Linked DNA regions of Rattus norvegicus. The protein of the gene in region 1 interacts with the protein of each later gene in a pairwise test. Links are inferred from orthologs where the notes say so. Each region holds a gene or a part of one and is shown in the gene's direction. Other genes may lie near its edges.

Region 1 (9,298 bases):
GGATGAGAGACACAAAGTGGGGGTTTTGTATGCCTTCTGGTCTCTTGCATACTGTAAGAGTCCTGGGCCTTGTCCCGGAAGCTCTGTGCTCTATGAAGCCATTACAGCTAAGTGCCACCTTTTGCCTGGCATGGTGACTCATGCCTCTAATCCCAGCACTTTAGGGGGCAGAGGCAGGTGGTCTCTGTGAATCGGAGGCCTTGTCTATATAGTGAGTTCCAGGCCTACACAGTGATATCCTGTCTCAAAAGAAAAAAAAAAAAAATCAACCATCAGTCACATCTTCTGGGCCTTTTCAGCAACCCCAATCAGGACAGTCACCATCAATCGCTCAGCTAAACTGAGTCTTTATAATCTGCCCAAACTTCAGCTTTAACTTCTTCCTTTCAATAATAGTTTTATATTTAAAGATTTATTTTTATTCTGTGTGAGTCCATGCAGTGCCCATGGAGTTCAGAAGAGGACATCAGAATCCCTGGAGCTAAAGTTATAGCCGGCTGTGAGCTATAATTGGCTGTGGGTGCCGGAAATATAACCCAGGTCTCTCAGAAGAACAATGGCTCTTAACCAATAAGCCATCCCTCTAGCCCCTAAGAAGAGGTTATTTTTAATGGTGTATGTGTGGGTGTATGTGATGCTCGTAGAGGACAGGCATTGGATTGTCTTAGAGCTGGAGTTCCAGGCCAGCCACCTGACATAGATGCTGAGAGCTTAAGACCAGTCAGCCCTATGCAAGAAGAGTAACGGTGTGTTCCTAGTCCTCACGGCCTCCCTCCAGCCCCCGGTGATATGCTCTGTATGGCAAAACCTTTGTTTTATTTTATACCCCACTGTCCAGAGCAAAGCCTTACATGAAATTCTTTAAACATTGGTGAGCTTAGGTTCAACCCAATGATCTCTTTCTGTCTCTCAAGATGGCTCTGGGCTCTCTATGAGCTGGCGGCTGGCCTTGAACACCTGGTTCTCTTGCCTCAGTGTCCTAAATTCTGGGATTGTAGCTGTGTGCACCACATATCCTGGCTCTGATGTTTCTTTTGCTCACTGTTGCTAGCCCTCAGTGTCCTCTATTCCTGTCTCCTCTAATCCTGTCTCTTCCCTTTCAGAGGCCTCAGGGGCTATAGAGTTTGTTGCTGACCCTGCAGCCCTGGCCACCATCCTGTCAGGTGAGGGAGTGAAGAGCTGTCCCCTGGAGTCCCGGTCCAGTCTGGCTCAGAGAGTGCTAGTGCGTGAGAGAAAGGGAGGCACCCACATCCAGAGGGGCCAGGTAATGAGACGGATATGAGACCAGGCTAGGGTGGGCTAAGGGGTAAATTCTGAGTCTTGCTGATAGCCTCTGTCGGCGGTCCAGAGTGCACGGTCTTCCGCATACCTGGCTCCCAGAATCCGCGCCCACCAAGCGGATCCCGCCAGGGCTTCCTGCTTCTCAAGGCTGGAGGGCCCAGGGCTCCGAGACCGCACTTTTTCCTCACAGAGGTCAGAGGCTCTGGTGAGTACTCTTGAGGGGCTGACTCTCAGTCCTTCTAGAAGCTTCTTCCTGGAACAGAGTAGGCCTTGGGACAACATCTCAAGATGAAGCCCTGGGCTGTTGGGAGAGATGGGGTGAGGTTTGTGTCAAGCTCGGGGTCTGCTTCTGACTCTGTCCTCCTGTCTTGTCCTGGATCAGAACCCACGTGCAGGTTCCTCCTTTCATTCCTCCGCTCGCCCCAGTTTACAGGAGCTCAGAAGAGAGACCTGTGGCGGTAGCAGGTACAGAGAGAGTAGATTCCCTTTGGACCCCAGAGGGGATGGGCAAACATGTCCCTGGGTGGGGCAATGGGGTTCAGACTCTGATGGCTGGGCCTTATCTCAGACGTGGAGGAACTTGGAGGTACACGAAGGGCTCTTTGATTGGCTACAGTAAATAGCTTTTGAGTTTAATTCCCGACGCTTACCACTGCTAGCCGTGCAGGCTTACCTTAACCTGTCTGTAGCTTGGCTTCCGTATCCATTGGCCAAATGAGGATAGCACCAGTACTGGGAGAAGCTACTGAGATGGTGCTGGCAGAGCCCTTCGCTAATTCCCAGCCCTTGCTTGACACTCAGGGATGGATCCTGTACTGACAGCAGGACCTCAGCAAGCCAGGCCTCGAGACTGCTCCTGAAGACCCCGGTGCAGCCTGGTGAGTGTGTGTGGGTACAGGAGCAAAGCAAGGGTGAAGGCCTGCACCAGGAACGAGGCAGGGGCGTGATCAACGGGCCTTGGGGAGTGGGGGAAGGGAGATGTTGGAAGTCTAGCTCAGTGGTGAGTACTCACCAAGCATCCACATCCCAGAACACACACCCATAACACACAAAGCAGACAAGACCTCCTGGGAAGGCCAGAGGTTGGCCTGGTTGTACATGTGTCTCTGTTTCTGACCTCTCCCTGCCACTTCCTGCAAGACAATTTCTACTGTGTTCTCTATCCCAGTCCCTTGTGAGCCATGGCCACCTCCAGCCCAGCCAGGGCATTGGGATTGATAAGTGTTTGCCAAGGTATTATTGTGCTCTGAGGGGTTGCTGAACGGGTAGACTTTGGTTCTAGACACTACGGTAAACGAACGTCCTGTCTCCTCCCAGCTTCCTTAACCCTCAGAGGAGACCACGAGGCTGTTCCTCACTCAGGTGGAGAAGGAGGACCCAAACTGGGTCTGGCTCAACGAGTTCCATTAAAAGAAAGCCTAACACACACCAGGGTGAGAGGAGACCCTTCTGGGATGGGGCGGGGTGGAATGGTGGCCCACTGAGGATTGTGGGTAGAATCATTAGACCTGGGACTCGAAGTATTTGGTCTTTTGATGGAACTGGGACCACGCCCTCTTCAGGGTAGATCTGACTTCCTTTACTGGGTCTCTGGGGCCTGGGGTCAGAGGTGACAGACTGTTATATATGTCACCTTCAAATCAGTGCCGTGGCCAAGACACGACCAACACTTTTCAACCAACATATTAATTCCTTTATTCCACAGGTATTTGCTGATTGGCTTTTGAATGCAGCCATGGTTCTAGTTCCAGAATATGTATATTCTAGAAAGGGTAGGGGGAAAAAAAACAAAAGAGAAAAAGCCACAAATGTAAAATGTATAGGATGTCACATGGCAGCACGTTCTTTCTAAAGCAAAATGCATAAGGTACTGAAAGGATTTGGAAGGGTAGTTGGTATCATATATTGGTAGTTTAGAGCCATGCTTGGTGGTACACGACTGCAGACCAGCATCTGGAGGCAGGAGCACCTGGGCTGCACCATGGTGAATGTCAGGACAGCCTCGGCTATGTAGCAAGACCTTGTGTTTAAAAATAGAAGGCGCCTGGGTTCGATCCCCAGCTCCGAAAAAAAGAACCAAAAAAAAAAAAAAAAAAAAAAAATAGAAGGCGCGTGTGTGCATGCTTGTAGGGCTGGTAACTTAGCTCCCACTGGCTCTAAACTTACAATCGCCTGTAATTCCCACTTAGGGCATCCAATGCCCTCTTCTGGCACCCAATACACTTACATGTAAATTAGGAAAAAAATTTTAATGTTTGGAAGGGGTTGCTTAAGCAGTCTTTTTACCAAATGTAGTTTGGCTAGGGCACTGTCATTGGGAAGATGAGGCTTGCTTATGAGACCAAGAGGTGAGGCAGGCTCAGACAGCTGGGGGTGGGGGTGGGGATAGGGGGATATTTAACCCTGGGCTGCAGATGCAGAAGCCCTGAGGAAAGGAGGTATCTAGTATTTGAGAGCCAGCAAAACACACAAGTGGGATTGAAGCCTAGGTGAGAAGAGGGTCCAAGACGAATTGACAGTGATGACAGGTGAGATCAGGTAAGGGCGGACAGACCAGTGTGTGTTCTTGTAAGGACAGACAGACAAACCAGTGTAAGTTCTTGGTAAGCACAGACAGACAAACCAGTGTAAGTTCTTGGTAAAGACAGACAGACAGAGCAGTGTAAGTTCTTGGTAAGGACAGACAGATAGAGCAGTGTAAGTTCTTGGTAAGGACAGACAGACAGAGCAGTGTAAGTCCTTGGTAAGGACAGACAGACAGAGCAGTGTAAGTCCTTGGTAAGGACAGACAGACAGAGCAGTGTAAGTCCTTGGTAAGGACAGACAGACAGAGCAGTGTAAGTTCTTGGTAAGGATGTACAAACCAGTATAAGTTCTCGGCTCGTAGTCTGAACAGGAAGCCAGGGGAAAGTGTGAATAGGAAGAGATAATTGGTTTCTCTCTTGAAATAAACGTGCAAGCATGCACATAGTGGGAGGCAGAGGCAGGAGGCTCAGACGTTCCAAGCCAGGCTCTAAGTTGCATGGGCCCCTAAGGAGCAGCTGCTGCAGTGGTGAGAACAGGAAGAATAAGACACAGGAGGGAGAATTCAGGAGGCCACTCTTCCTACCTTTTTCCTCCAGTGACAGTGATGGCTCTCTGCACCCTCTCCTGTCCCTACAGCCCAGCCCATAGCCAGCCATACAGTACCTACCACCTTTCTCACCAAGCAGTCACCTTTTTAGACAGGCTGAGGCGTTTGCTCCCCAGGCCTCTCAGCTGTGATTTGTGTCAACAGCCCTTGGGCTGGGCAGGATAAGAAGTGTTTGGCTGGAAAGCCATGTTCACTCAGCCAACCACATCTCTCCTCAGACCACATATTCATCCATGAAACGCTTTACCACTCGACGGAAAACCCAATTCACACCCCTCCGGTCACTACCTAGAGTCCAGCAGGTAAGAGAAAGCAGAGGAGGTAACCGTAACCAGTGTGGGCTGGGACTAGGGAGGAAGGGAGAGGGCAGGCAGGCACTAGATAGGGATGGGGGTAAGGTATGACAGGCCGGAGGAGTGGGTGTCACTCATGGGTGGTCTGTCCTGTCTGACACAGGCCCAATGGCTGAGTGGCCTCTCTCCTCATTCCTCCCCTGAAGAGCCTGCCCTGCCCTGGGTAAGTGTCAAAAACCTTCCTGTACTGAGGTCTGTGGCACTCCCCCACGGCCTGGAGGGCTGGCAGCCTTGTGATTTGAGGTAGGTGTATTTGCTGTTCGCCTCTCCTTCCTATTCAATATTTAGAATGTCAGTCTATCTCTATCTATCTTCTGCTAGTCCCACACTTTGAAAAAAATTATTCTCTCTCTCCTCTCTCTCTGTGTGTGTGTGTGTGTGTGTGTGTGTGTGTGTGTGTGTGTGTGTGTGTGCGCGCGCGTGCGCATCTCAACAGCCTGAGCTGCAAACTTTTGATTCTCCCGCCTTTGCTTCTCAGGGCTAATATCTGCTCTATCGTAGGCCTGCCACACCATACCTGGTTTTTAGAAGAACGACCAGGGAACTTTGATCCATTCCAGGAGGGTGGGGACAGTATTCTTTCCCACCTCAATGTGGCTTCTTCACCCGCCCCCTTTCCTTCTGTTTCAGGAGCAGATTGCTGTGAAGTTGTTTGACCAGGAGAGTCTCATCGCTTTGCAGAAGGGACCTGGGAAACCATCTGTGGCAAGCACTTCTGGACCTCAGTCCACGAGAACCCCCAGCCACCAGGAGCTAAAGATGCAGGTGGGCCTGTAGGGGCCGCAGCTCTGATGGCTTCTCCTCCACAAGAAGGCTGGGGAGGGGGAGCGGGGAGAAAGGCTGGGGGTGTGTGACAGGGGCCTTGAACACACAGTGGTGACACGCTGGGATACTCTCTCCCACCACAGCGCATCCATATTTTGCAGCAGCTCTTGCGGCAGGAAGTAGAGGGGCTGGCAACGGGCAATTGTGCAGCTCTGAATGGAGGCTCCGCTTTAGATACGACCGAACGTCAGCCCCCAGTGGCTGAAGACTCTAGCACTCTGAGTGCTCCAGCACACAAGTCTGAAACTCCCCTTGCACTGCCAGAACACTCTGGTGTGACAGAGGCCCTCCCTGCGGAAGAGCGTGAGGAGCCACAGGCTTGCCCTGGGGAAGACACTAAGGAGTCACAGCCCTGCTCTACCACAGAACTAAAGCCCCCAGTGCCACATAGAGCTGAGCCAGAGCCGCCAGCACCTTGCCTTCCAGCACTGGCAGGACCCCCTCTGCCTAGTTGTCGGGGACAGGCTGAGCCCCCTGAGGCTCGCCCTGGGATACAGCTGGGAGCATCGGCAGCCAGCGCTCTGCAAGCTGGAAACCCAGAGTCTAGCCCAGAGCCCTGTTGCAGTCAGGGGCCTCCAGCAGCCACCAGCCTGACCTCGACACAAAGCCCAGTGTGTGCCAGCTTCCCTATCCACTCACTGCACTCTTCGAGATCCCCGACAGGCCGCTCAGGTAAGGAACTGGCTGAGAAAGACCATGAGGAAAGGGCCCTGTCTGGGAGCGGGTCCTGCCTTGCACCTCCCCATGCCATGCTTTATTTCCCCTGTACTTCTAAGTGGCTGTGCTCATAGGGAGGTGCGGGGTGGGGATGGGGGGGGGGTGGACCTGGAAGAAATATAACTCCAGAGGCCCCTCTGAATTCTCCATGGCCTTCAGGCCCCAGCAGTGTGGCCCCTCGAACCCTGGCCCTGAGGCAGCGCCTCAGAGCTTGTCTCACCACCATCCACTGTTTCCACGAGGCTCGCCTGGATGACGAATGTGCCTTCTACACCAGTCGAGCCCTGCCCCCAGGGCCTACCAGGGTCTGCACCAATCCTGTTGCTACAATGCTTGAATGGCAAGATGCCCTGGTGAGCCTTTGGTGTATAGCCAGCACGCCGCAAGCCTGTGGGACAGTGGCAGGCTGACCTTGCCCTCTCTATGGAGAAGTTATGGAATATGACAGCCCTCTTCTTTTTTTTTTTTTTTTTTTTTTTTTCTGCAGCGTTTCATTCCAGTTGGCCCTGTGGCCCCACAGGACTCTCCGTCGTGACTCTGGCCTTTTCTGGGCTTCTGCCCTGCTGTACTCACCCCTTCCTTTAGCCTTATTTATTGTCGACCTGCCCATTGGACTGGGAGCCAACGCCCTTTTATCCTTTATAATAAAGTTTCTATAAATTGTGTTTGAATGGGGCAGCCAGAGCTGTTGCTCTCCAGTGGCCCACATGGTGGCAGTGTGCTCCAATTTAGAGGAGATTAAGCACTTGGGACCATAGGCTTCCTCTTCAGCAGCTGTCCTCCAGAAAGCGGCCGCCCAGTCTGCCTTCTCAGGCTTCTTGAGTGGATTAGGGGGAAATTACAGAACTTGTTCTCTCTGAGATCAGTCCCACTCTAGGGGGGCCACCAGGTATTCCCACATCTAGAACACCTCTGTTAGAACTCTCAGTTGGGCACCTGTGACCCTAAGCTGCCTGGAGGCTAAGGCAGGAGAATCACTTGAACCCAAGAGTTGGAGGCAACCCTGGGCAAAAAGCCATGACCCATCTCAAAAGGAGAAAAACTACAAATAAACCAACACCAAGGAAGAAAAGAAATGCTAGAATTCTTTTCCTATGCAGGCAGAGCAGACCCTCACCCTTAGAATCTTCCTCATCCCTGCCTGTGAGGGCAGCACTCCTCCCTCCACTCCGTCTTCCCTTGCCTTCTCCTTTCTGGAGAGGCAAGCCTGGCCAGGCTTAACTGCATAGATCAGAGACAGATCACCCTGCTGAGATAGACAAGCCTTTCAGGGTGTCAGGCAAAGGGCCAGCCACTCTCCTGTTGTCCCTCCAACTCTGTACCAAGGCAGGCAGGCACACACAATCCCCAACCTCACTTTATTGGGAGGAGTGACAGCATCTGTAGCTCCAGGACCTACCCTGGAGAGGGGCGAAATGGGCACTGTACAAAATGGGTTCTTAATGCTAGGAAGTCCTTGGTTCCTCCAGTTCACAGGGAGGCTGCCTTGGTTGGAGCCTGAAAAATGGAGATGGGGAAGGGGAAGAAAGTGGCTACTGAGGTCCACATCTAAACTGTGCCAGAGTCTCCTGTCACCTGGACAGGTTCCTTCTGTTTCTGCCCTTTTCTCCCTAGCTGTCAAGATGTCCCCCTTTTCACACGAGACTTTGATCTCCATTAGTAAAGCTTCCCCCAAGCTCCAGGCAGAAGGGAGGCCCATGCACAAATTTCTCTCTCTGGCCCAGTTTCATTGGAGCACAAGGTAGTCAGTCCCCTTCCTAAGTGGCTCTCTTCATCCTGGCCTTCCCATCTCTAGACTCCCCCAACCACTTAAAACCCTTGAGCCCCAAGAATCTGATTGCCCCCGTTTAGGTGGCCTGGGGAGCGGGAGTCCGCAGGCCCTGAGGATGGAGCTTGGGTAGGGCTAGCTGGAGGTGGGTGTGGGTGAGAGCGAGGGGTTGAGGGGGCGGGCGAACGAACATGAGAGTCAGAGAAGGTGCTGGGCTCAGTCGGGATAGATGATGAATCCCGAGAAGGTGCTGTACTTGTTGGTGTTGCCGCCATGCACCTTCCCACCGTCCAGCTTGATAAAGACCTCATCTCCCACATCTAGGTGCAGAATGACGCTGTTGCTGGCATAGTCATAGTTCTGATCTGCATCCTGAGCAATGGCGCTGGCACGGACCTAGTGAGGAAGGAGGAAAAAAAAAACCAGACCCATTGGTTCTCACCCTGTGCAGAGCTGAATTGATTGACCAAGGGGGTTAAGTTGGTTGGTGGCTGGAACAAGGGTGGCTTAGGTCCTGGGGGAGCGGTTCTCAACCTGTGGTTCTCAATTGACCCGTTTGGAAATTGTATATCAAATATCCTGCATATCAGATATTTATATTATGATCACAACTAGCAAAATTATAGCAATGAAATAATTTTATGATTGGGGACCACCACAAAATGAAGAACTGTATTGAAAGAGTTGCAGCATAACCACTGAACTAGGAGACCTCAGATCTTCTCAGGCATGACCCGGGCACACACGTCATGTCTTCTTTGGGCCTCTACTAGAGCAATAAGGGGTAATAGTAGTGGAATATGCCTCATGAGGTGGTTAAGATTAAATGAGTAATTACTCCTGGAGTTTAGAACCATGTTCTGTATATAGAAAATGTTACATAGAATTGCTGTTCTCATGCTAAAAAAAAAAAAGCTTTCAGGATACTTCTAGGATTTTACGTTGGCCTGGAATTCCTAAATTAGCTTCCCAAAGGTGTGGGGCAAACGCATCTACACTTATGCCATACCTGTGTTGTACCAGTAGGAAAGTGAACTGTTTGCCTCTTGGCCTCCTGGGCTTCATGTGGGGGACTGCCTTTGGTCTGTGATCTCTGGTCTGCAGCAGTCATACTGCCAGCCCCTTCCCCCGGTTCCCATCCCATCGGGACTGGTTATTAAATCATTAATTATTCATTATTATTCTAATCACTATTTACCATTCCCAGGGCTGCAGTGTCTG
Region 2 (10,742 bases), on another chromosome or scaffold:
CTGTGTATGGAGAGAAGAGAGTCTCTATCTCCGTGAGTTCCGGACCCCTGTCCAGAGTACAGGCCCAGCTGATAACATTGCTTACAGTCTAGTCTTTTTGCTATTGTGTCCTACAGAGGACCAGGCAGGCTGTAGCTTCAGAGCTGCTGCAGATCCCAGCTCCCCCTCCCAATTCCCTGGCCTTGTCTTCTAGCTCCATACTAAACTGTTTCCTTGTCCTCTGCCTCTGGTCACACACTGCCTGCTCCTTCTGATGAGGCTCTTACATCGCCCTCCTTGTCTGAGCCGTCCTCACTGCCACAACCTAGCTCTCCCATGTCCTTGTCTCTATGGCCATCCCTAGGCTGCCTTGTTCATCTCCCACTCTGTGTCTGCAGTGTTCTTCCCGGGGTGGTGTGGGTGGCTCAAAAGTGTCCCCAGCCTTTCCTGGTCTGTTTCCCTTTTCACACTTTCCTTGCTCTGTTCTGATTTCAAATCCTCTCCTGGCTTAGTCTGTATAGCCTGTCACCTGTGCCGGTTTGTACTTAATTCAGTGACTTAGTTCAGAGAGTACTTACCTCTTAGGGCAGAATATGTGTTCTACTCACTGTTGTCCAGCACCTGAAACTGGTGCTAGGACAGGACATAGTGCCTAGTGCTTAGTTCTGTCTTTCACTTCCGTGTTTACTGTATGTTATTCCCTCCCCGAGTCTCCATGGGAGGGCAGAATGGCTTCTCTCCTGGTCCCTGCTGTACATCTGCATTTTGTTCTTACATAGTGATTAGAATGCACTTTCTTTTGAGGGCCCTAGGGTTACAGGGAATGATGCCCTGCACAAGAATCCAACACTGATTCTGTCCCCATCTCTCCTGGCTCAGGAAGGAGATGACAAAATTGAGTACCGAGCCTGGAACCCCTTCCGCTCCAAGCTGGCCGCAGCAATCCTGGGTGGCGTAGACCAGATCCACATCAAGCCGGGGGCCAAGGTGCTCTACCTTGGGGCAGCCTCAGGCACCACCGTCTCCCACGTGTCTGACATTGTTGGCCCGGTGAGTGGGCAGGTTATGGGGATGGAGGAACCTAAGCCAGGCTCATCCCTCATTCTGTGAGAGGGACAGCTTGAAGCAGAGTTCTTTCAGTACCACTCCTGCTTGTAATTGTGAACCAGAGAGTGTAGTCAATTAAAGTAACCCAGAGCTGGGAATATAGATACCAGACTATTTTGGTTGAAAAAGTTATGTCCAAGGGCTAAAAGGGGAGATTCAATCATTAAAGTGCTTGCCACACTGTCATGAGTACCTGATTTTGATACCCAGAATCCATTTTGAAAAACAAAACCAGTGTGGCAGTATACCCTCATAGGAACAGCATGAGAATGCAGCAACAGGCCAGTGGTCTCTGGCCTGCCGAGCCGTCAGCACCGGTGAGAGACCTTGTCTCAAAAACATGATGGGTCTAGCCTTTAGTCTCAGCACTGGAGAGGCAGAGGCAATAGATCTCTTGAGTTCAATGCCAGCCTGATCTACACAGTGAGTTCCAGAACAGCCAGGATTACACAGAAAAAGGAAAAACAGGGTTTCAAAAAAAAGAAAAAGGAAAAAAAAAGGATGGTTAGAGTTCCTGAAGGAGTGGTACCTAACATCATCCTCTGGCTTCCACACACAGAAGCAAGGCATTCATGTCCCCCTGACCCAACCCCAGACCCACTCAACTATTGGGTGTTGGACCTAGGGCTTCTTGAAATGCTAGGCAGGTATGCTGACACTGAGTTACATCCCAGCTTTGGTTTCTGCTAATGGACGTATGTTCTCTGGCAGTACAGGATCCCAGTGCAGAGAGCACCTAGTACTTGGGAGTCTCACTTGACAGCTTCTCGCTGCTTGACTGAATTATAAAGTGTTTAATTAGTGAAAGCACTAGCCTTGTAACCCTAGCCTCTTCTAAAACCAAACAGCAACAACACTCAGACTTGGATAGGCATTGGCAGTGTGTGGCTTCATATTTCCTGTAAGTGCTGCTCCGTTACAAATGCTATGAGCTCTGTTCCTTCATCTCTATCTATCCTGGATGCCTAGATTTTTACCCTGTGTTGGGAGCCTGTCCTCACGGGTCAGATTATTAGGATCTTAAAACTTGGTTGCTTGGGAATAACATGGCTCATGACTTCTCATAGTGGCAGTAATTTCAAAGCAGGGGTTTTGATTGAGGGTCTGAGAACCTGCTACAAGTGGCACTCAAGCCCAGTCAGTGTTGACGACTACTGGAGTACCAGTGTGTGCTCATCGATGCTGGGTCAATTTTAGGATGGTCTGGTCTACGCAGTTGAGTTCTCCCACCGCTCTGGCCGTGACCTCATCAACTTGGCCAAGAAGAGGACCAACATTATTCCTGTAATTGAAGATGCTCGGCACCCACACAAATACCGCATGCTTATTGGTGAGGGCCCTGGGGGTGGTCCACAGAGGGTAGGATAAGCCACTGCATGTTTCTCAGGGGATGCCTATGGAGCCTGAATTAGGTGGAGTTAGAGTTAGAGCAGCCTCTTCACTGCAACAGTGTGAAGATTGTGTCAGGGTCAGTTCTGCTACGCTCTAACACTCGAGGCCTTTTTTTTACACTGCCCTGGCTTGTGTTTTAAAGCCATTATTTGATGAGATTCCAGTCCTGGTCACAGCAAGTATAACTCAATGGCTTTTTTAAAAACACCTCGAAAGTCTAGTATAAAAGTGGAGGGCCTTGTGAGTTCCCCTAGAGATACCCGATACTTGTTGCCTGCTTTTCCAAACACTTAAAGGATGTTTTTACTCCATCACATTTTTTGTTTTGAGTCACGCTACCTTAAACCATTACCTTTCCATTGTGCTTCTTTGGTTTTTATGGGGTTTGGTTTGGGTTTTTTTGTTTTGGTTTGGTTTTTTGTTTTTGTTTTGTTTTTTAACCTGTGCATTTTCTCAGTGCACCCAGCCCGTCCTCTGGTCCTTGTCATTTGACAGCCCTTCCCACATCTTGTCTTTAACTGCTCAACTCACATTTACTTGTCTTTCTGATGAACCATCTCTCCCTTCCCCTCCCCTCCCATCCCACCCCCCCAGACCTGGGAGGATCTCGAAGGCAGGGTCCGGATCTCTCTGTGTGTCCCCCACACCCAGCCCAGGGCTGGCCACAGAGTAGGTGGCAACTGTTGGCTTATAAGAGGAGCGGATGAGTGAAGTGACTTAGGTTCTGGTTCCACCTTTGGGGTGCTTTGGAGGGAGTGGCTGGGAGTAAGACTGGAGGCAGAGGAGTCCCAGGAACCTGGTGGTGAAACAGCACAAGGCCCTGTTGGGAGGCTCTGGAAAAGTTTCTGCAGACTTCTGTTTTTAACCGCTGTCCCATTTTTCCTTAGCAATGGTGGATGTCATCTTTGCCGATGTGGCCCAGCCAGACCAAACCCGAATTGTGGCCCTGAATGCCCACACCTTCCTGCGGAATGGAGGACACTTTGTGATTTCCATTAAGGTATGGATCTTGCAGTGTCAGGTTGAGTAGCAACAGCGAACGTTGTGGATGCTTGATCTGTCCTGGCTGAGCAAGTTACTTAGCTGAAGCCTGTTTGACTTGGTCTATTAGTCTTCTCTGTGGTTGAAGATCTATAAGTGTTAGGCATTTGGAACAGACTATGGGGTAGAATAATACTAACTGCAGCAGGTATGGTTCTCAAAACATTTGTTTAAAATATAGAAAACTCTCAGGCATCCTCACCATCTTCAGAGCCTATTGCTACATTTGTTCTATTGCTGCCAGCTGGCCTTCAGCTGTTACCGGAATATGGAAGAGTGTTCCTGACTTTAACCACTGCCTTAGATAAGGGAAACAACCTGTTTCCAGTCTGAGCTAAATTAAAATGTCTTTTTTTTTTTTTTCCGGAGCTGGGGACCGAACCCAGGGCCTTGCGCTTGCTAGGCAAGCACTCTACCACTGAGCTAAATCCCCAACCCTAAAATGTCTTTAATGTAGGAAATTGGCTAAGTCTGCATCTCCAAATCTGTAACAAAGACATGCTTTTAGCTTAAAGTCTTTTCTCCTCTCTAGGCCAACTGCATTGACTCCACAGCCTCAGCAGAAGCTGTGTTTGCATCTGAAGTGAAAAAGATGCAGCAAGAGAACATGAAGCCTCAGGAGCAGTTGACACTAGAGCCTTATGAACGAGACCACGCTGTGGTTGTAGGTGTGTACAGGTAAGTACCAGAATAGACCTCTCCCTTACTTTGGGCCAGAGCTTCCAGGGCCTGAGAAGCTAAAATTGGTTACAACTCGACCCACTCTGATTTCCTCACAGGCCACCTCCCAAGGCGAAGAACTGAAACTCGACTGTCTGGATTGAAGAAATGTGTGTTGTTGCTACTGTTGCACATGTGGCTTTTGACTTTTTGCAGGGGATTTTTCTATTAAAAGACTAATCTGTCTTCCCTGTCTGGTGCTGATTGCTCAGTGGCCTCAAGACGCATGCGTCCTTGATCAACTTTGTGTGGTGGTGGTGGGGGGTGCCTGGAAAGTTTCATCCGGTCACATGGTGCACGTTCCATTGGTGGCTGCTACGCACGTGCGCGGCTCAGCACCCTTAAGGCGCAGGCGCACAGTGCTCCACTAGGTCACGTGAGGGGTGTGGGGGCGGAGCCGGGACAGGGGGGCCGGTTTGTTGTGGTCGCCATTTTGCTGGTTGCATTACTGGGTAATCGGGGCCCTGGCTCGCCGCGTCCACCAGACACCCTCAGCCAGTGGGCAGGTCTGAGCTCGGGCTTCCCGAGCAGTTTGAATCCCCTTACCCACGCCCTCAGGTAACGGTACTGCGACGGGCGGGATGGCACGCTTGAGTGGGGGGCAGGCCCGGACCCGCCCTGCCGGTCCCCGCGAGATTTAGCAAGGGAAAGGAGGGGGCTTCAGGCCAGTGCAGCGCAGCCCGGCACTTCACAGCCGAATTCCTGGAAGGGGCTAAGCCCGAGGGAGCTGTCTTGAGGGGGAGCCTGGGAGGGGGGCAGCCCGGCCCCACTCCCGCCCTTTGTTTGGGCTCGGCTGCGCTGGCCGCTTCGCTGTCGCCTAGCAACAGCTGCCCTGACTGCTAATTGGTTAAGCTCTTGGCAGCAACAACCAATAGCGCGGTTGTTGCCATGGGAGGTGCGGCCTGCCGGGTTCACTTGTGCCCCGCCCGCCGGGACTCCACCGGCCGGGGCGGGCCTGCCGGGTGGGGGGCGGGACGCCAGGGTCCCTGGGGGCGGGTGGCCACGCGGGGCGGGGCTGGGCCGTAGGGCGAGGGTTAACCCGCCCCTCCCCCGTCCACCTGCTGTCCCCTTCCCCCGCGTGCCCTGGTCTGACCCTCGTCCCCTCCTTTTCCCGCCCCTCCCCCTCGGTGGCAGTGGCGGCGGCTGCTGTTGTCACCCACCGGGCCGCCTGTCCCGCTTGCCCTCACTGCCGCGGGGCTGGCTAGGCTAGCCGGGCCGGGGACAGGCGGCCACCTCCTCATCGCCGCCGCCGCCACCGCCGCTGCCGCCATGCTGGCCGCTCGCCCACCGCACTGGGGCCCCCATCGCGCTCCAGCCCCCCGTGGGCCCAGCGCCAGCCCTGACCCGGGTAGGGGTGGGTGCTGGAAGAGCTGGTCCTAGTGTGGGAGGGCTTGGGGAGAGGTTGTTTATCTGTGAAGCTCCAATAAAGGGGACCTGGAGTAACAGGACAGGATAGAAGGGAATCTGACAAGGGGGAAGCTCCTAGGGAGGGGATTTTGTTCCGAAGGACACTTAGAGGGAGTGAAGTCTTGTGTGATATTTAGGGATTTGGCTTGTCGGGCCCTTCTAGGAATAGGCTCAATTGTGGAATGACCCCGCTTAGAAATGGAGGAGATAGCAAGGATCCCAGGATAAGGAAGAAAAAGACAGTGACTCTTAGATGTTGAGAAATTACACCTCCCCCTTGTTTTCCTAAGGAGTTGGGGTCTTGAAGTAATAAGAAAATACTAGTGGGATAAATATAGACTACTTAGAAGAAGAGTCCCTGGTGCGGGAGACCTCATATAGGGAGCAGGGAGCGGTCTTGGTGGAGTATGGAGTTGGTCCCAGGGGAAAGTATGCCATGTTGGTTGAGACATCTATAGCTCGCATGTAAAGGAGTTCTCAAATAACCTTGGTTTTGCTAGGAGGTCCACAAGGACTGCTATGTTCTTTAGAGAGAACTAGTGGGTAGGCTAGGCTTGAAATTGGGCCCTCACTGTTGAGGGAAGACCATGTGAGGGCGGTGCCTTTTCTGAGGGACTCAGGCTGGCCACCGGCAGAATTTCAAAGAAAGCCTGAATTCTACTACCCAGACTACTCGGTTTCTGCCTTCTCTTTTGCTTTCCTAATTCCTGGCCTCTTTCTCTCCTTCCTGCCCTGGCCTTGTACCAGCCCTTTCCCACCCCTGTCTGGTTTGATGATTCCCTTTTACATTTTTCTCAATGTGATGCCTCATTCATTCATTTGGCTCATTTGTTGAGAGACATGGCTGTTTTAACCCACTTGCTACCCGTTTCTGTTTCTACATGGCTACCTGGTGCTTGTGCTCTGTCCTGTTCCCTGTCTCCCCCTGGTCCTGCCCTCTAGTTCATGCCCACTTCTTCTCTAACTGACCCTGACCTCCACACCTTCTTGTTTCATGTTGTCCTCCCACTTTCTACCTGCTCTCAGGTCTCAGCGGCGGTGGCAGCCGAGGTGCAGGATGCGAGAAGGCGCCCCCCGGCCGGGCTCCCGCTCCAGGCCTCACACCCCTGCGGCCCTCTGAGCCCACCATGGCCGTCCCACCAGGCCATGGTCCCTTCTCTGGCTTTCCGGGGCCCCAGGAACACACACAGGTAGGCATTGAGCAGGCTTCTCACCTGCCTGAAGAGTGAACGGCCTCCAGACAACAGCATGGTTGTTGGAGGATCTCTGGGGAGTTTGGAGGCCTCACAATACTAAAAGAGTTTCAGGTAGTTGGACTTTGAAGAATCCACCCTCTTTCCTGCTGAGGACTGAATTCTTGAGCTTCTCCATAATGTGTGTCTTGGGGTCAGAACTGTCACTGGCACAGAGCAGACAGAAAGAAACACAGGTCTGAGTGTTCACGAGAGAGAAGCCTGAAAGAAATCTAGAGGGGGCCAGAAGGAAAATGAGCTGAGAGCAGTGGGAGACCCAGGGAGACTAATCCCAATCCAAGAGCTTTTTAATTGGGCAGAGATACTTACTTGAGAGTAAGGACAGGAAATTCAATAGCATTGTTCCCAGAAACAGTGGTCTCAGGTGCAAAGACTCAGGGGACAGAACCCAGATACGGAGCAAAAGACCTAGGGCTGAATGGAAGGTCAGAGGTAAACCACTCACTTCATATAATGAACGGATGAGTGGAACCCACAGTGTGTGCTTGTGCTCCTATACAGGATGCGATCAGAGCTAGGGAAATGTAGGCATGGTCAAATGAGGTGTCAGCTTTACCCTTCTCTCCTAGAAGTTGGAGGTGAAGGCTTGTGCTCAGTGTCTGCCTCCCTCTGCCACAGGTATTGCCTGATGTGCGGCTACTGCCACGGAGACTGCCCCTGGCCTTCCGGGATGCGACCTCGGCCCCGCTGCGCAAGCTCTCAGTGGACCTCATCAAGACCTACAAGCACATCAATGAGGTGAGTGGGGAATGGACTTCTGTGGTTGGGTGTTGAAAGGGGTCCTGGCTTCTTGCCTGGATCACTAAGGGTCCAGTTTCCTGGCTGCCTGAGCAGGTATACTATGCGAAGAAGAAGCGGCGGGCCCAACAGGCGCCACCCCAGGACTCGAGCACCAAAAAGGAGAAGAAGGTCCTGAATCACGGCTATGACGATGACAACCACGACTACATTGTGCGCAGCGGCGAGCGCTGGCTAGAGCGCTATGAAATTGACTCTCTTATTGGCAAAGGCTCTTTTGGCCAGGTGCGAGGTTCCCCCGCTCGCCCAGTGCCTGGGTGATGCAGACAACCACTTGGTTACCCCGCTTCCTCCTCCCAGAGTGTTCACTTGCTAAAAGTCCTGCCCTGGGCCCGCCACTCAAGCCACTTAGTTTCCCTGTCTTAGTTCTGGATGAGTATAAATCACAAGACTCTTTGAAAGAGAACTGTTGTTACTTTTTATCCATTACAAGGGATGTGAGCACTGGGCTGTGAGTTGTTAGAAAGGTATGGCTGGTGGGCCTCTCGCTTACCCAGGTAACTCTCCTTGTCTGGACAGGTGGTGAAAGCCTATGATCACCAGACTCAGGAGCTGGTGGCCATCAAGATCATCAAGAACAAAAAGGCCTTCCTGAACCAGGCACAGATTGAGCTGAGGCTGCTGGAGCTGATGAATCAGCATGATACAGAGATGAAGTACTACATAGGTAAGGCCTGGGTGGGTGCAGGGCGCCTGGCATAGAGAGGCCTCCACTGAGGGCTGAGGGCTCCTCAACCTCTGCTGTGGTCATGATTTCTCCTTTCTGCTCACTGAGGGCCAGACTCTGGCAAACACTTGCCATGAACTACCTCCCCCAAGCCTGGTGAGGGACAGGGCAGCTTTGTGGACGTGTTGGAAAAACGGAGGCACTCAGTGCTGTCACATGCATGAGGTGACAGTTCAGGCTCAACAGTTGATAATGTGAGAAGCAGTGACATCTAGAGCTATGGCTCTTGTGATATGTCCCAGTCTTCAGTTCCTCTGGAAAGGGATTCTTTAATAAAAGGACAGCCAGTATCCCTTGCCACACAGACAGCAAAGACAAAAGCAGGTTCTTTTGATAGTTTGGGGTTTTGGGTGATGGTGATATTTTTGGAGGTTTTGTTTTGCTATTCTGGGGATCAAACCCCGTGCTTCATAAATGCTAGGCAAACAGGTCCTCCCTTCAAACATCCCCGACCCCAGAACATCTCCAGACCTTTTTTTACTTCATTATTTTGAGCTAGGGTCTCACTAAATATATCCAGATGTACCTCGAGCTAACAGTCTTTGTGCATCAGTGTATCCCAGGCCTGCTGGTTCAGCATTGTAAAATGAAATGAGGAAGCATGGAGCTGTTTTTTTTTTGTTTGTTTGTTTGTTTGTTTTTTGTTTTTTCGGAGCTGGGGACCAAACCCAGGGCCTTGCGCTTGCTAGGCAAGCGCTCTACCACTGAGCTAAATCCCCAACCCCGCATGGAGCTGTTTTAAAGCTTTAATTTCCCTTTGCAGTGCCGGGGCTTGAACCCTGGTCCTTGTGCTTGCTAGTCAAACATGCTACTGCCCTTTGGTCATCCCATAACCTATAGGTTACACCATCTTTTGGGGTTTTGTTTTGTTTTATTCTGGACTTCACTGTGTAAGCCAAGCTGGCCTTGAGCTCCTCATTCGCCCATTTTATCTTTCCAACCGCTGGGATGACAGTCATGCTCACTAACTACTTCCTACTGGCAGAGCCCTTCCTTTTGGTAAAAACTGGAAGGTATGAGAGGCTCGAGAATTAACATGCCTTGGAAGTCCAGTGAGTCGGTGTAGAGACAAACACCTTAGGGCTCACTGCAGTTTGCCTGAGGTGGTTACCATTGGTCCCAGCTTCCCTGCCGCCAGTGCATCTAACCTGTTGCCCCATCGACCGCAGTACACCTGAAGCGGCACTTCATGTTCCGGAATCACCTGTGCCTGGTGTTTGAGCTGCTGTCCTACAACCTGTACGACCTCCTCCGCAACACACACTTTCGCGGTGTCTCACTGAACCTGACGAGGAAGCTGGCACAGCAGCTCTGCACAGCCCTGCTCTTTCTGGCCACGCCTGAGCTCAGCATCATCCACTGCGACCTCAAGCCTGAGAACATCCTGCTCTGCAATCCTAAGCGCAGCGCCATCAAGATTGTGGACTTCGGCAGCTCCTGCCAGCTTGGCCAGCGGGTGCGGTTCTGACTGTGGGCAGCGCCAATGTCTTCCGTGGGATGCGGTGGGAGGACGGTTTCATTTTGGCCCTAGAAGCTGATGACCAAGAGATGATATTGGGCAATGGGAAGCCCCCTGGAGAGAGGTGGTGGGAAGTGAAGGGGCAAAGATGACCCAAGCAAGGAAGAGAAAGGGTGAAGCTGAGGGCCAGGCACTCCTCAGAGGAGTGGAGTTGTGACCTGAGCCTCAGGCTGCTTTGCTGACTGCTCACAGGTTGAGGACCATGAAGTTTTTCAACCCCATGTGAGCAGACCAAGCCCTAGGGGATATACTAATGTAGTACAGTATGGAATAGCCAGCCTCTTAAACCAGAAGGACCAGAGCTGGGAGTGCAGACAGGGTTAAAGCAGGAAGGTCATTGAAGACTAGAGGTTAATGAGCAAGACAGTGACTGGCTGCAGAGAACCTCACAACCTAGAGGGTCCATCCTGTTTTCAGGCAGGGGCTTGTCTACAGTTGAATCTTCCAGTGGAACCAGCAGGGGAGCTGGTACCCTGACTACTGTCCCCTCCCCCAGATCTACCAGTATATCCAGAGCCGCTTCTACCGCTCACCAGAGGTGCTCCTGGGTACACCCTATGACCTGGCCATCGACATGTGGTCCCTGGGCTGCATCCTTGTGGAGATGCACACCGGAGAACCCCTCTTCAGTGGCTCTAATGAGGTGCGCCCCTGGAAGGGGTGTACTGGAGGTGGAGGGGTGGAGCCTGGCCACCTGGCGCCCCTGACCGCCGCCTGCCTGCAGGTGGACCAGATGAGCCGGATTGTGGAGGTGTTGGGCATCCCTCCCGCACCTATGCTGGAACAGGCACCCAAAGCT
Region 3 (10,678 bases), on another chromosome or scaffold:
TAGTATAGATTTAATATGTGATGACATATTCCTTAAATATTTAATAATGATCATCACTTCTTGACCTTTCCTGGCTTACGATCAAGGAAGAAGAATTAATGAATTTATTTGTTTTTTCCCTTTACACCTTTTTTCAGTGTAAGGCAGGACACTGAGAACCCTTCTACTGTCGTCTGAACACACTCAGTGATATACTCAAGAGGCGAGTGAAATTTTGAGAGCTCTTTTTTAGGTAAAATGTGTTTTCATTTCAAGAAAAAACAAAAGGGAGAGAGTATATGACTCAGTCAGTAGAGTGCTTGCCTAGCATGCACAAAGCGCTGGGTTCAAATCCCAGGATCCCATAAACTGGGTATAGTGGTGGACATTTGTGATCTGAGCATCTGGAAGGTGGAGGCAAGAGGACCAGGAACTCTAAGTCCTTTTCAGTTACACTGTGAGTTTGAGGTCAATTCACTAGGCATCTTGTGTTTTTAAAGATGAAGAATAATAACAAAACTCCCTACCACTGGAATTTTTGGTAGCTTCTAAGTTGTGTGAAATCGCACTTAGCAACTCATGTAATTGTTTTAAGTTCATATAGAAATCATAACGATCTCTGGAAAAGCCGTTTCATTTGCTAGGAGGAAACAATATCTTAGAAAGATGAGGCAGGCCTTGTTGAATTATTGCCTTCACCTCTTACTAGATATTTATCTTGGAAAAGGTGTCACAATAAGTAATATCTAGCCCACACACTAGATGTAAGATGGAGATAATAAAAATACAGTAAGTTCCTTTCAAACACACATCATCAACTTCAGTCCCGATCACGTGGTCTCGCTGTTGTATTGCTCAATGTGGCGACCTTTCTTAGCTCCACATTCAGAGACAGTCATACTAACTGCTGCTATGGAAGCGTGACTGCATGTTAGGAATGGAACTGGTGAGCTTCTGGATGTGTATGTAGCCCACAGAGAATGGGGGAGGAATATGCGGTATATCCAAAGGGATGCCTTAAAGAGGGCCAGTGCAATCCAATCTAGTTCAAATGTCTTGTAAGCATTTCTTCCTATCAGTGTAAGGCACTGTTAACTTTATACCTGCACATCCCAAAGGCAAGAAAGTGCATTGTGGCAGTAGCAAACTAAAATAGGTTGAAATTGTTTTTTAATAAAAGGTTATCGATAAGCAGATTCAAGAAAAATCTGACCTCCTAGCTCCCCCCCCCCGGTCAAATTAAATCATTAAAACTTATTCCAAACTGATGCGTATAGAAAATTAAAGTTGATAAGACATTCTGGACAAGGTTCCCACAAACGTGATACTACAGTGTGAATTAATTTGCAGTATATTTCAACAAATCTAAGAAGTATTAGGTGTAGTTCCATTTATTTCAAATCCTTGGCATTACCGTGCTACACCATCTACAGGTAAGCTAAAACCTGGTAACTTTATCCCTGCGACCTAGACGGATAAAGGAGTGATTTTTGGAGAAAAAAAAAATTAAATGCCAGCTGAAATTTATGCCGGTTCACAGATATCTCTGCGGCAGGCTCGAGACGTGAGCTGCTGTGGACAAAATGTGGTAGCAAAGGCCTCAGTGCTTAGGTTTGCATTTCATTCCAGGAGCAGCGGGAAGGCGAGTGCCCGGTTTCAGGGACAAGGCCTTCGTTGGGAATCCATCAAAGAAGTGAGGCAAATAACAGAGTAAAGAGACTCAGGTTAGCAACAGTTTACCTTTTAGCGCCAGCAGGTGCTCCTGTTTGGGGGGATTCACTTCCATTTTGACCGGCACTTCTGACCTCAGCCTATACAGGCTGAAGTTTCACTGGGTCTGGAAGGAAAAGTGCCAGGCACAAGTCCCGGAAGATCGGCCTTCAAACGCACGCTCGACTTCTTTCTGCTCCTGAGAACTTAAATTCTCTTTTCATTAAGTCCTTTACGGCTCCAGTGAAATCTTTTTACCAAGGCCATTCCTTCGTTCAGAAATACACATATTTTCCACACAGGCTGACTTCAACGATCCACTTCGGGCTGACAATACGCGGCTTCCCAAAAGCTTACATTGCCCAGGGGGGGTGGGGGAGGGAGCTACTGTCGTGGCATGCTGGGATTTGTAGTACATTTTATACAAATTTAGCAGTGTACGCAGGGCGGTGGGGGAATGTGGTTCATTTACTCATTCTGACTCGTTTCAGTACTAGAGAAAAAATGTTCCAGGAATGGCATTTTCACCATAAAATTTTATTTATGTTCCATACTTTTAATAAAACACATTTTCTCCTCTCCATTACTCACATACGCCTTTATGGAAAAACAGCTCGCACGCGCAGACCGTACAGCCAATGACTGACGGAGAGAAAAGGTCAGAAGAGGCGGGACGACTCCCCGTCTATCCTGCGCATGCGTGAGGGCGGCACGCGCCGAGGCTTCTGGGTAGGTCGCTCAACCCCTCCTCTCAGTTAAAGGCTCTACTGCAGCTGTGCCGCTGCTCCTTCCAGGATGGCTGCCCTCGCTGTAAACAAGCCCGGAGCAGGAGTAGACAGTGGGCGGCAGGGCAGCCGGGGGACGGCTGTGGTGAAGGTGAGGGAACTTGCGTGCTCTGTTCTCCACCTGCGGCCTCCCTTCGGTTCGTCCTGGAGACCTGGCCGCGACTGTGCGGCCCAGGTTTGGCCGGGCTGGATGCGCGGCCTCTGGTGGGCGTTACAAGACTTTCCTGCCCCTCCGCGGTCCTTGCCCAGCGGAGCTGAAGTTGCCTGGTCTTCTAATTCAAGTGTTAACGTCGTCCGTGGGGCTGTTTGTGAAAAGCACCGCGTGGGCCTGTGAAAGTTGACCCGGACTGGGTCTTGCCCCTAGTCTTCTGTTTCTAGTGATGCCTCAAGAGGCATTAATTGACGTAGTTGTATTAAACACTCATTGCAATAGACAAGTACTATGGTAGATGTTTGAGTTCGCTAATAACTACTTAAAAGGTAGATGTTAATTCGCATTTTACGTGGGAGGAACCCTAGGTTTAAGTTAATACAGTGTGTGCTAAGGGCCCAGAGTTTACTGGTTGTCAACGTCTGCCTTCCAACATTGCACAGCTGTCCCTTGCTTCTGAATAGTAGAGTATGAAAACTTATGAAGTCCCCGACTACAGCACAATTGGGCTTTAACATTAGATGTATGGAGTACTGTCTCCTTAGAAGATTCTACCGAATATTTACAAGCTACATTTACTAAAAGTTAACTAGAAGTATGTGATGATCATTTCCCCCACCCACTGTAACGTAGATCTAAAAGGGGCATGTGGTTTAGGGAGTAACTTGGAAGATTATCTGTAGCCAAGAGATTAAACAACTCTTTCTGAGTGTGTTGATGTCAGGACATTTATTAAATCCCCTGAAGAAATTTTAAAGTACACTTGGATTTATTACAGTGAACCAAGTTTGATTGGACATTCTTTAATAGTAGATATCTGTCTGTCTGTCTGTCTGTCTCTCTCTCTCTCTAGCAAAGGTCTGTTTTTGAGAAATTTATGCCTAAAATTTATCAGTCGTTTTTTATTGGTGTGTTTGTTTTGAATCAGTTAACTTTTTATACTAATGAAATGTAGAGGAGCCCCCATTAAGCATATTTTGTGTTAGAGTTAATATTTTGCTTTTGCCAAATGGGAATACCTGCAGAATATTTTGTCATTCTTTCCCATAATTGGAATAGCATGTTATAATTCTCCTTAATACTTTTTCACTTTATCATATATTCTGCATGTATACATAAAAGATGTAATGGCTGTAGTTTTGGCATATGAATGTACCATAATGTATCTTTCAATTTAGTATTTATATGGATCGTTGCTTGTTTTTAATTATTTAATGATACAGATAGTACTTTAAGGAGTTACATTGATTTTGTCATATGTAGACTGGGGATGTGATTCAGTAGTAGACCATTTACCTGATATAGTCAGGGTCCTGAGATTTCCCAGCAGCAGAAACAGCAACAGCAACAAGGACGAAAACATTTTGATTTTGTCGTGCATGTATGATGTAGTTCCTTAAGAACTGCTAAATTGTGTCCATGGGTGCTATATTACTCAGTAAATTTTTTGTGTCAGGCAGTGGAATTTTTTTCCTGTACTGTAATTAGTGCCAAGCATTAACAGCTTTTTGAAAAACTATCTTCATGTCGTTATTCTCTGTAGAATGAGTTAGATTGAACTCTTAATACAAAGTTTTTTTATACATTTAGCAGATATTTAATTTGTCTCTTTTTCCTTCGAATTATACCACACTTAAGTTTCTTTTGAACTATTACCAGTACGTGAGGTAATTACAAATTACCAGTTTAATTACTGTGAAAGATGTTTGTATCTCAATTTCTAAGTCTAAATGTATTAGAAGATCAAGTTTAAAATTGCAATGGGTCTAATGAGATTTCCACTCTTTAAGTTTTCTATTTTTTTTTTTTATTTTGTGTTGCATGTTTGGTGGCCTGAATTGTGTTTCAGTGTTATTTTGTTGGGTTTTATTTGCATCAGCATGTAGGTGCTTTTGTATCTGGAGTGTACTGTTCTGCACTCTCGTTCTAATAGGGAAAGACAGGTTAGTCTATTAAAGTATTGAAGTATTTGGGTCAGACAAGCAGATAGATATTCAGGGTGCATGGAAAACCAGAGGATAATGTAATAATTGAAATTGGAGTGAGAGATTGGGAGACTAAGAGAGATGGGATTTTTAGGTATATGAATATAAAAACTTTAAAAAAGGAAACCAGTAGGTAAATGTTTAGATGTTTCCTCAGTGTTAATTAGAATAAAGAAGGGATCGAGAAACCACCAACCACAGAAGCAAGTGGTCCTGTGCTGGGATACACATGTAGTAGAGGGGACTGAGAGGTGTGGCAGTGAAGCAAGAGAATGGTAGTCAGTTGTAAAAGCACTGGAAATGCTATATTGTTATAATTACGTTTTGCAGACTATACATGAAATATTAGCCCATGGACCTGAGTGTCAGAGTGAGCCAGTTCTCGCAGCTTTTCTTCCTCACTATCTTTCAGTAAGTCATATACCTGTGATTACTTGTGTAAGAACAGGAATTGAAATTTAATTCTCAGCTAATTTTGTTTTTGCCTTTACATCATTTTGTGAAATCTAGAAGATACTTGAAATTCCTTGGAAACTGTCTTACAAGTTTTTTTATTGTTTAGAAAAGTGATTATCATCCCAATCCACATTTTAGATTGTTTTATTGAAATCAGTGGTAGTTTGGCTGGACACAGTGGCATCTCCTATAGTAACTTCTGGGAGGCAGAGGCAGGAACATTACTATAAGTTTGAGGCCAGCTTGGACTGAGGTCCATTCAGGGGTAGTCAGTGAAACGTCATTTTACAAGGGAATAAAACAGGGCCTAGAGAGATAATAAGCTATTGACAGCACTGAATGCTCTTTTGAAGAACTCGGGTTTGATTCCTAGTACTCCATGGTAACTAAGAACCATCTGTAACTCTAGTTCCAGGAAGTCTGATGCCCTTTCTTGACCTCTGTGGGCACTGCATTAGCATGATGCACCCACCACACATGCAGGCAAGACACCCATGCACAAAATAAAAATAAATCTCTAAACACTTTTTAAAAAGGAAATGAGTGCAAAATGAAATGATTGTTGATTGGGGGTTTCAGTAGAATTATAGATTGTTACATATTTAGTTTTCAGATTATATTATGTTAATTATGTTAATTTGCAATATAAGTATTTCAAGGAGGTTTTACTTTGTCAAGGTCTGTCAAATGGAAATGAGTAAAAATGTGATTTAACATTTTATAGCTTAGTTTTTTTTCCCCATGGAGGAATAAAGTAACAACTACTATGTCAGTTGTTTTTAAATCTAAGATATTTGAATGTTGTTTCAATAGTATTTATAGGGCACATGTTTTTGTTTTACATACTAGGTTCTGGAGTGTGGTGTTTGTGAAGATGTCTTCTCTCTGCAAGGAGATAAAGTTCCTCGCCTTCTCCTTTGTGGCCACACAGTCTGTCATGACTGTCTCACACGCTTGCCTCTGCATGGAAGAGCAATACGTTGCCCATTTGATCGACAAGTGACAGACCTAGGTAGGTAAATTATTTAAATGAGGTTAAAGTGAAAAGTTATTCATGTAACACAAATGTCATAGAACACAGTTCCTTTACACTTGACTTTTTATGTTAAAGTTTGAAGAGCTTTCAAAATTTGAATTTCTATTCAGGTCAGTGAGATCCTAAATGTAAGCTAGCCCTTTTCTTAGTTACTGGTGGAAATCTGAAGTTTCTATATTCTATACTTACTACAAGAAGCTTTAAGAAGTATCAGAAATATATGTTACCCTTATGCAAAGAAATGAGAATACTTTATTCATCACCGGTTAAGTCTTAATGCTCTGAATAAAAAAACCTGTTTTTTTTTTTTTAAAAGATAGTCAAAATATAAAGTCATTTGACTCGTTCTTTCTTTCTTTCTTTTCTTTTCTTTCTTCCTTCCATCCTTCCTTCCTTCCCCCACCCCTCCCTCCCTCTTTCTCTTCCTTTCTTTCTTTCTTTCTTTCTTTCTTTCTCTCTTTCTTTCTTTCCTTTTCTTTTCCTTCCTTCCTTCCTTTCTTTCTTTCTTTCCTTTCTTTCTCTCTCTCTCTCTTTCTTTTCCTTCCTTCCTTTCTTTCTTTCTTTCTTTCTTTCTTTCTTTCTTTCTTTCTTTCTTTCTTTCTTTCTTTCTTTCTTTCTTTCGAGATAAGGATTCTCTGTGTATCCCTGACTGTCCTGAAACATGGTTTGTGGACCAGACTGGCCTCAGCTCAGATCTGACTTCTTTTAGCTCCCAGTTCTGAATTAAAGGTGTGCACCACCATGGCCTGCTAGGTTCTTGCATGCTTTTTTTTTTTTTTTAAGATTTATTTATTTATGTTATGTGAGTACACTGTCACTGTCTTCAGACACACCAGAAGAGAGAATTGGATCCATTACAGATGGTTGTGAGCCACCCTGTGGTTGCTGGGAATTGAACTCAGGACCTCTAGAAGAGCAGTTGGTGCTCTTAACCACTGAGCCATCCCTCCAGCCCCCTTGCGTGCTTTTACAACTACTTCAGAATCAGTGTTGACATATTTTAAAATTTAAAAGTGTGTGTGTGTGTGTGTGTGTGTGTGTGTGTGTGTGTGTGTGTTTACCCAAATCAAGTTGTCAGATTTTGGCAGAAGGTGCTATGTCACTGGCCCAGATTTAGAAAGTACAACATTAACATTTGAACAATTATTTCACAGTTTAATGTAAGTTCTTAATTAATTTTGTAAGATAAAAGAATTTTCCCCAAAATAGTTTTTAAAAAAAACATTTTTTAAAGATTTATTTGTTTCATTTATGGGAGTACACTTTAGCTGTCTTCAGACACCAGAAGAGGACATCAGCTGCCCATTACAGATGGTTGTGAGCCACCATGTGGTTGTGAGAATTGAACTCCAGACCTCTGGAAGAGCAGTTAGTGCTCTTAACCACTGCACCATCTCTCCAACCCCCCCAAATTAATTTTTAAGACTGACCCCCCACCCCCTCAGGTCTTTACCAGTACTTAACACTAGGGCTGGTGAAAGGACTGAATGACTCCTGCAAGTTTTCCCCTGAACTCCATACTTGTTCTGTGGCACCTTTATATATATGTGTGCACACACATCCACACACAGAAAATAGTATAAATGTTATAAAAGACTAATACCATATGTTAAAATCTGAATAATTTATCTACGTATAAAAGGAACCAAGAGTGTCCCTTTCTTAGGCTTTAAAGTACTTAGAAATATGGCTTTGACATGTGTTCTTAAGATTGTGGCTATCTTTATTTGCTAGAAAGCTAATGCAAAACACTAATGACGTCACACAGACAGCATTAACCTACTACCATCCATGAAGTAATAGTGGTGGAAGAGATGTCTCTGTTTTAAGGTTCATCCCTTGACTTTTTTATTCTGTAATTAAAATAACATTACCATTTCTTCACATACAACTAGACATGTAGAAATGATAAAGTTTTGCAGATGTAGGCTAGACCCTTTGGGAGAGCCCTCTACCTTCTCTGTACTACCACGGTATGGGAGTTTATGATAGGACAGTTAGTCGTGTGTCAGGTGGAAACCAAGAGTGCTGCCTTTCCACCATCAGAGCAGCCAGCTCTGGCATGCGTAAAGATGGCAGTGCCTGTAACTTAGGGCACGTTTAACTGAGTTGTTTGCGGACTATCTCCGTGACTTTCAGTTATTATACAGTATATACATATATACACACAGTATGTATACCACAAAAATACCAAGGAGAAAATACCAAGGTAGGTTATTTGCAATTCCTGCTTGTAGAAGGAAGCTGCTCTTACTGTTACCAGTTCCTAATCTGAGCTTTCTTCTGATCCAGTCAGCTGCTACTTCTCATGAGCAGTATTTCTGGCTTTACTCTCTTTGTCCCTATGGTAAATTGTATTTCCCTGCCCTCTAACAATTATGTGTGACTATGATGTTTAAATTTAACTATTGAAAAAGAAACAGAAATCAAGTGTCAACTCTCAACTTCCAGGTAAAGGTTTTTAAGATTGACGATGATCTGAGGGAAACCATCCTTTTTGCAACAGTGAGGTGGTCTACATGAGTGAATGCTCAGTGTTCTACAGCATGCATCGTGGACAACAGAGCTTTCTTGTCTTCCCCAAACCCTAAGGATTTGCAGGAACAACACAAGTCTGAGGTTTTTTAAAACCATACAGCTGGGTTGGGGATTTAGCTCAGCGGTAGAGTGCTTGCCTAGCAAGCGCAAGGCCCTGGGTTCGGTCCCCAGCTCTGAAAAAAACCAAAAAACCATAAAGCTGTGTGTATGCATGCATTTAATTTTTACACTCCAGATTTTATTCCCCTCCTGGTCTACCCTCCGACTGTTCCACATCCTATACCTCCTCCCCGCACCCTTTGTCTCCACAAGGATTTCCCACCCCACCCACCCCACAAGACCTCTAAACTCCCTGGGGCCTCCAGTCTCTTGAGGGTTAGTTGCATCTTTTCTGACTGAACCCAGACCCGGTAGTCCTCTGCTGTATATGTGTCGGGGGCCTCATCTCAGCTGGCGTATGCTGCCTGCTTGGTGATCCAGCGTCAGAGATCTCAGGGGTTCAGGTTAATTGAGACTGCTGGTTTTCCTACAGGGTTGCCCTCCTCCTCAGCTTCCTCTAGCTTTTCCCTAATTCAACCAGAGGGGTCAGCAGCTTTTGTTCATTGGTTGGGTGCAGATATCTGCATCTGACTCTTTCAGCTGCTTGTTGGGTCATTTGGAGGGCAGTCATGATAGGTCCCTTTTGGTGAGCATTCCATAGCCTCAGTAATAGTGTCAGGTGTTGGGGCCTCCCCTTGAGCTGGATCCCACTTTGGGCCTGAAGCTAGACCTTCTTTTCCTCAGGCTCTTCTCCATTTCCATCCCTGCAGTTCTTTCAGACAGGAACAATTATAGGTAAGAATTTTTGACCGTGGGTTAGCAACCCCATCCCTCACTTGATGCCCTGTCTTTCAGCTAGAGGTGGGCTCAACAAGTCCCCTCTCCCCACTATAGGGCATTTCATATAGGGTCCCCCCACTTTGAGTCCTGAGGTTCTCTCACCTCCCAGGTCTCTGGTATATTCTAGAGGGTCTTCCCAACCTCCCGAGGTCACTTGTTTCCATTCTTTCTGCTGGCCCTCAGGGCTTCAGTCCTTTGCCCCCACCTAATATCAGATCATGTCTCTCCCCTCCCCTCATCCAGTCTCCTTTCTCTCCAAAGTCCCTCCCTCACTCCCCTCTTGTAGTTGCTTTTTTCTCCCTCCCAAGTAGGACTGAGGTGACCTCAGTTGGGCCCTTGAGCTTGTTGACCTTTTTAAGTTCTGTGGACTGTGTCTTTGGTATTCTGTACTTTAATATCCACTTATTAGTGAATACATATCCGTGCATGTCCTTTTGGGTCTGAGTTACCTCACTCAGGAAGTTATTTTCTAGTTCCATCCATTTGCCTGCTAAACTCATGATAGCTTTGTTTTTAATAGCCAAGTAGTATTCCATTGTGTAAATGAACTACATTTTCTCTATCCATTATTCTGCTGTGGGACATCTGGGTTGTTTCCAGCTTCTGGCTATCACAGATAAGGCTGCTATGAACATAATGGAACATGTGCATGCCTCTGTGGCATGGTGGGGCATCTTTTGGGTATATTCCCAAGGATGGTATTGCTGGGTCTTTAGGTAAATCTATTTCCAATTTTTTGAGGAACCTCCAAATTCATTTCCAGAGTGGTTTTACCAGTTTACAATCCCACCAGCAATGGAGGAGTGTTCCTCTTTCTCCACATCCTTGCCAACATGAGGTTTTGATCTTAGCCATTCTGATTTAGGTATAAGGTAGAATCTTGGGGTCATTTTGATTTCCTTTCTCTGATTACTAAGGACTTTGAACATTTCTTTAGGTGCTTCTCAGCCATTCAAGATTCCTCTGTCGTGAATTCTTAGATCAGTTCTATACCCCATTTTTGATTGGGTTGTTTGGTTTTTTTGGTGGTTAGCTTCTTGAGTTCTTTATATATTTTGTATATTAGCCCTCTTTCAGATGTTGGGTTAGTGAAGATTTTTTTCCCAATCTGTAGGTAGCCAATTTGTCTTATTGACTATGTCCTTTGCCTAACAGAGCT

The links.
Region 2: the proteins of Troap (region 1) and Dyrk1b interact in binary tests that used the Homo sapiens proteins (3 or more experiments, as listed by UniProt). The link is inferred for Rattus norvegicus from reciprocal best matches to the Homo sapiens genes TROAP and DYRK1B.
Region 3: the proteins of Troap (region 1) and Trim23 interact in binary tests that used the Homo sapiens proteins (3 or more experiments, as listed by UniProt). The two-hybrid records come from large-scale screens. The link is inferred for Rattus norvegicus from reciprocal best matches to the Homo sapiens genes TROAP and TRIM23.

Annotation. Positions count from the first base shown.
Region 1 is NC_086025.1:132,114,317-132,123,614, forward strand, and holds the end of Troap (tastin), read left to right. Parts: intron 1-1,103; coding exon 1,104-1,264; intron 1,265-1,348; coding exon 1,349-1,486; intron 1,487-1,569; exon of another isoform or gene 1,570-1,663; coding exon 1,664-1,746; intron 1,747-2,082; coding exon 2,083-2,159; intron 2,160-2,449; exon of another isoform or gene 2,450-2,462; coding exon of another isoform or gene 2,463-2,514; intron 2,515-2,598; coding exon 2,599-2,714; intron 2,715-4,632; coding exon 4,633-4,716; intron 4,717-4,870; coding exon 4,871-4,930; exon of another isoform or gene 4,931-5,010; intron 5,011-5,397; coding exon 5,398-5,532; intron 5,533-5,675; coding exon 5,676-6,264; intron 6,265-6,468; coding exon 6,469-6,662; intron 6,663-6,796; coding exon 6,797-6,844; 3' UTR 6,845-6,980; downstream 6,981-9,298. Other genes in the region: C1ql4 (complement C1q-like protein 4 precursor), read right to left, coding at 8,294-8,473. UniProt on the Homo sapiens protein: Could be involved with bystin and trophinin in a cell adhesion molecule complex that mediates an initial attachment of the blastocyst to uterine epithelial cells at the time of the embryo implantation.
Region 2 is NC_086019.1:92,602,083-92,612,824, forward strand, and holds the start of Dyrk1b (dual specificity tyrosine-phosphorylation-regulated kinase 1B), read left to right. Parts: upstream 1-5,371; 5' UTR 5,372-5,508; coding exon 5,509-5,587; intron 5,588-6,672; coding exon 6,673-6,836; intron 6,837-7,517; coding exon 7,518-7,637; intron 7,638-7,733; coding exon 7,734-7,922; intron 7,923-8,216; coding exon 8,217-8,364; intron 8,365-9,593; coding exon 9,594-9,880; intron 9,881-10,439; coding exon 10,440-10,586; intron 10,587-10,667; coding exon 10,668-10,742. Other genes in the region: Fbl (rRNA 2'-O-methyltransferase fibrillarin), read left to right, coding at 1-32, 859-1,029, 2,284-2,416, 3,366-3,478, 4,052-4,197, 4,299-4,323.
Region 3 is NC_086020.1:37,033,798-37,044,475, forward strand, and holds the start of Trim23 (E3 ubiquitin-protein ligase TRIM23), read left to right. Parts: upstream 1-2,407; 5' UTR 2,408-2,484; coding exon 2,485-2,565; intron 2,566-4,940; coding exon 4,941-5,021; intron 5,022-5,915; coding exon 5,916-6,078; intron 6,079-10,678. Other genes in the region: Trappc13 (trafficking protein particle complex subunit 13), read right to left, coding at 1,720-1,765.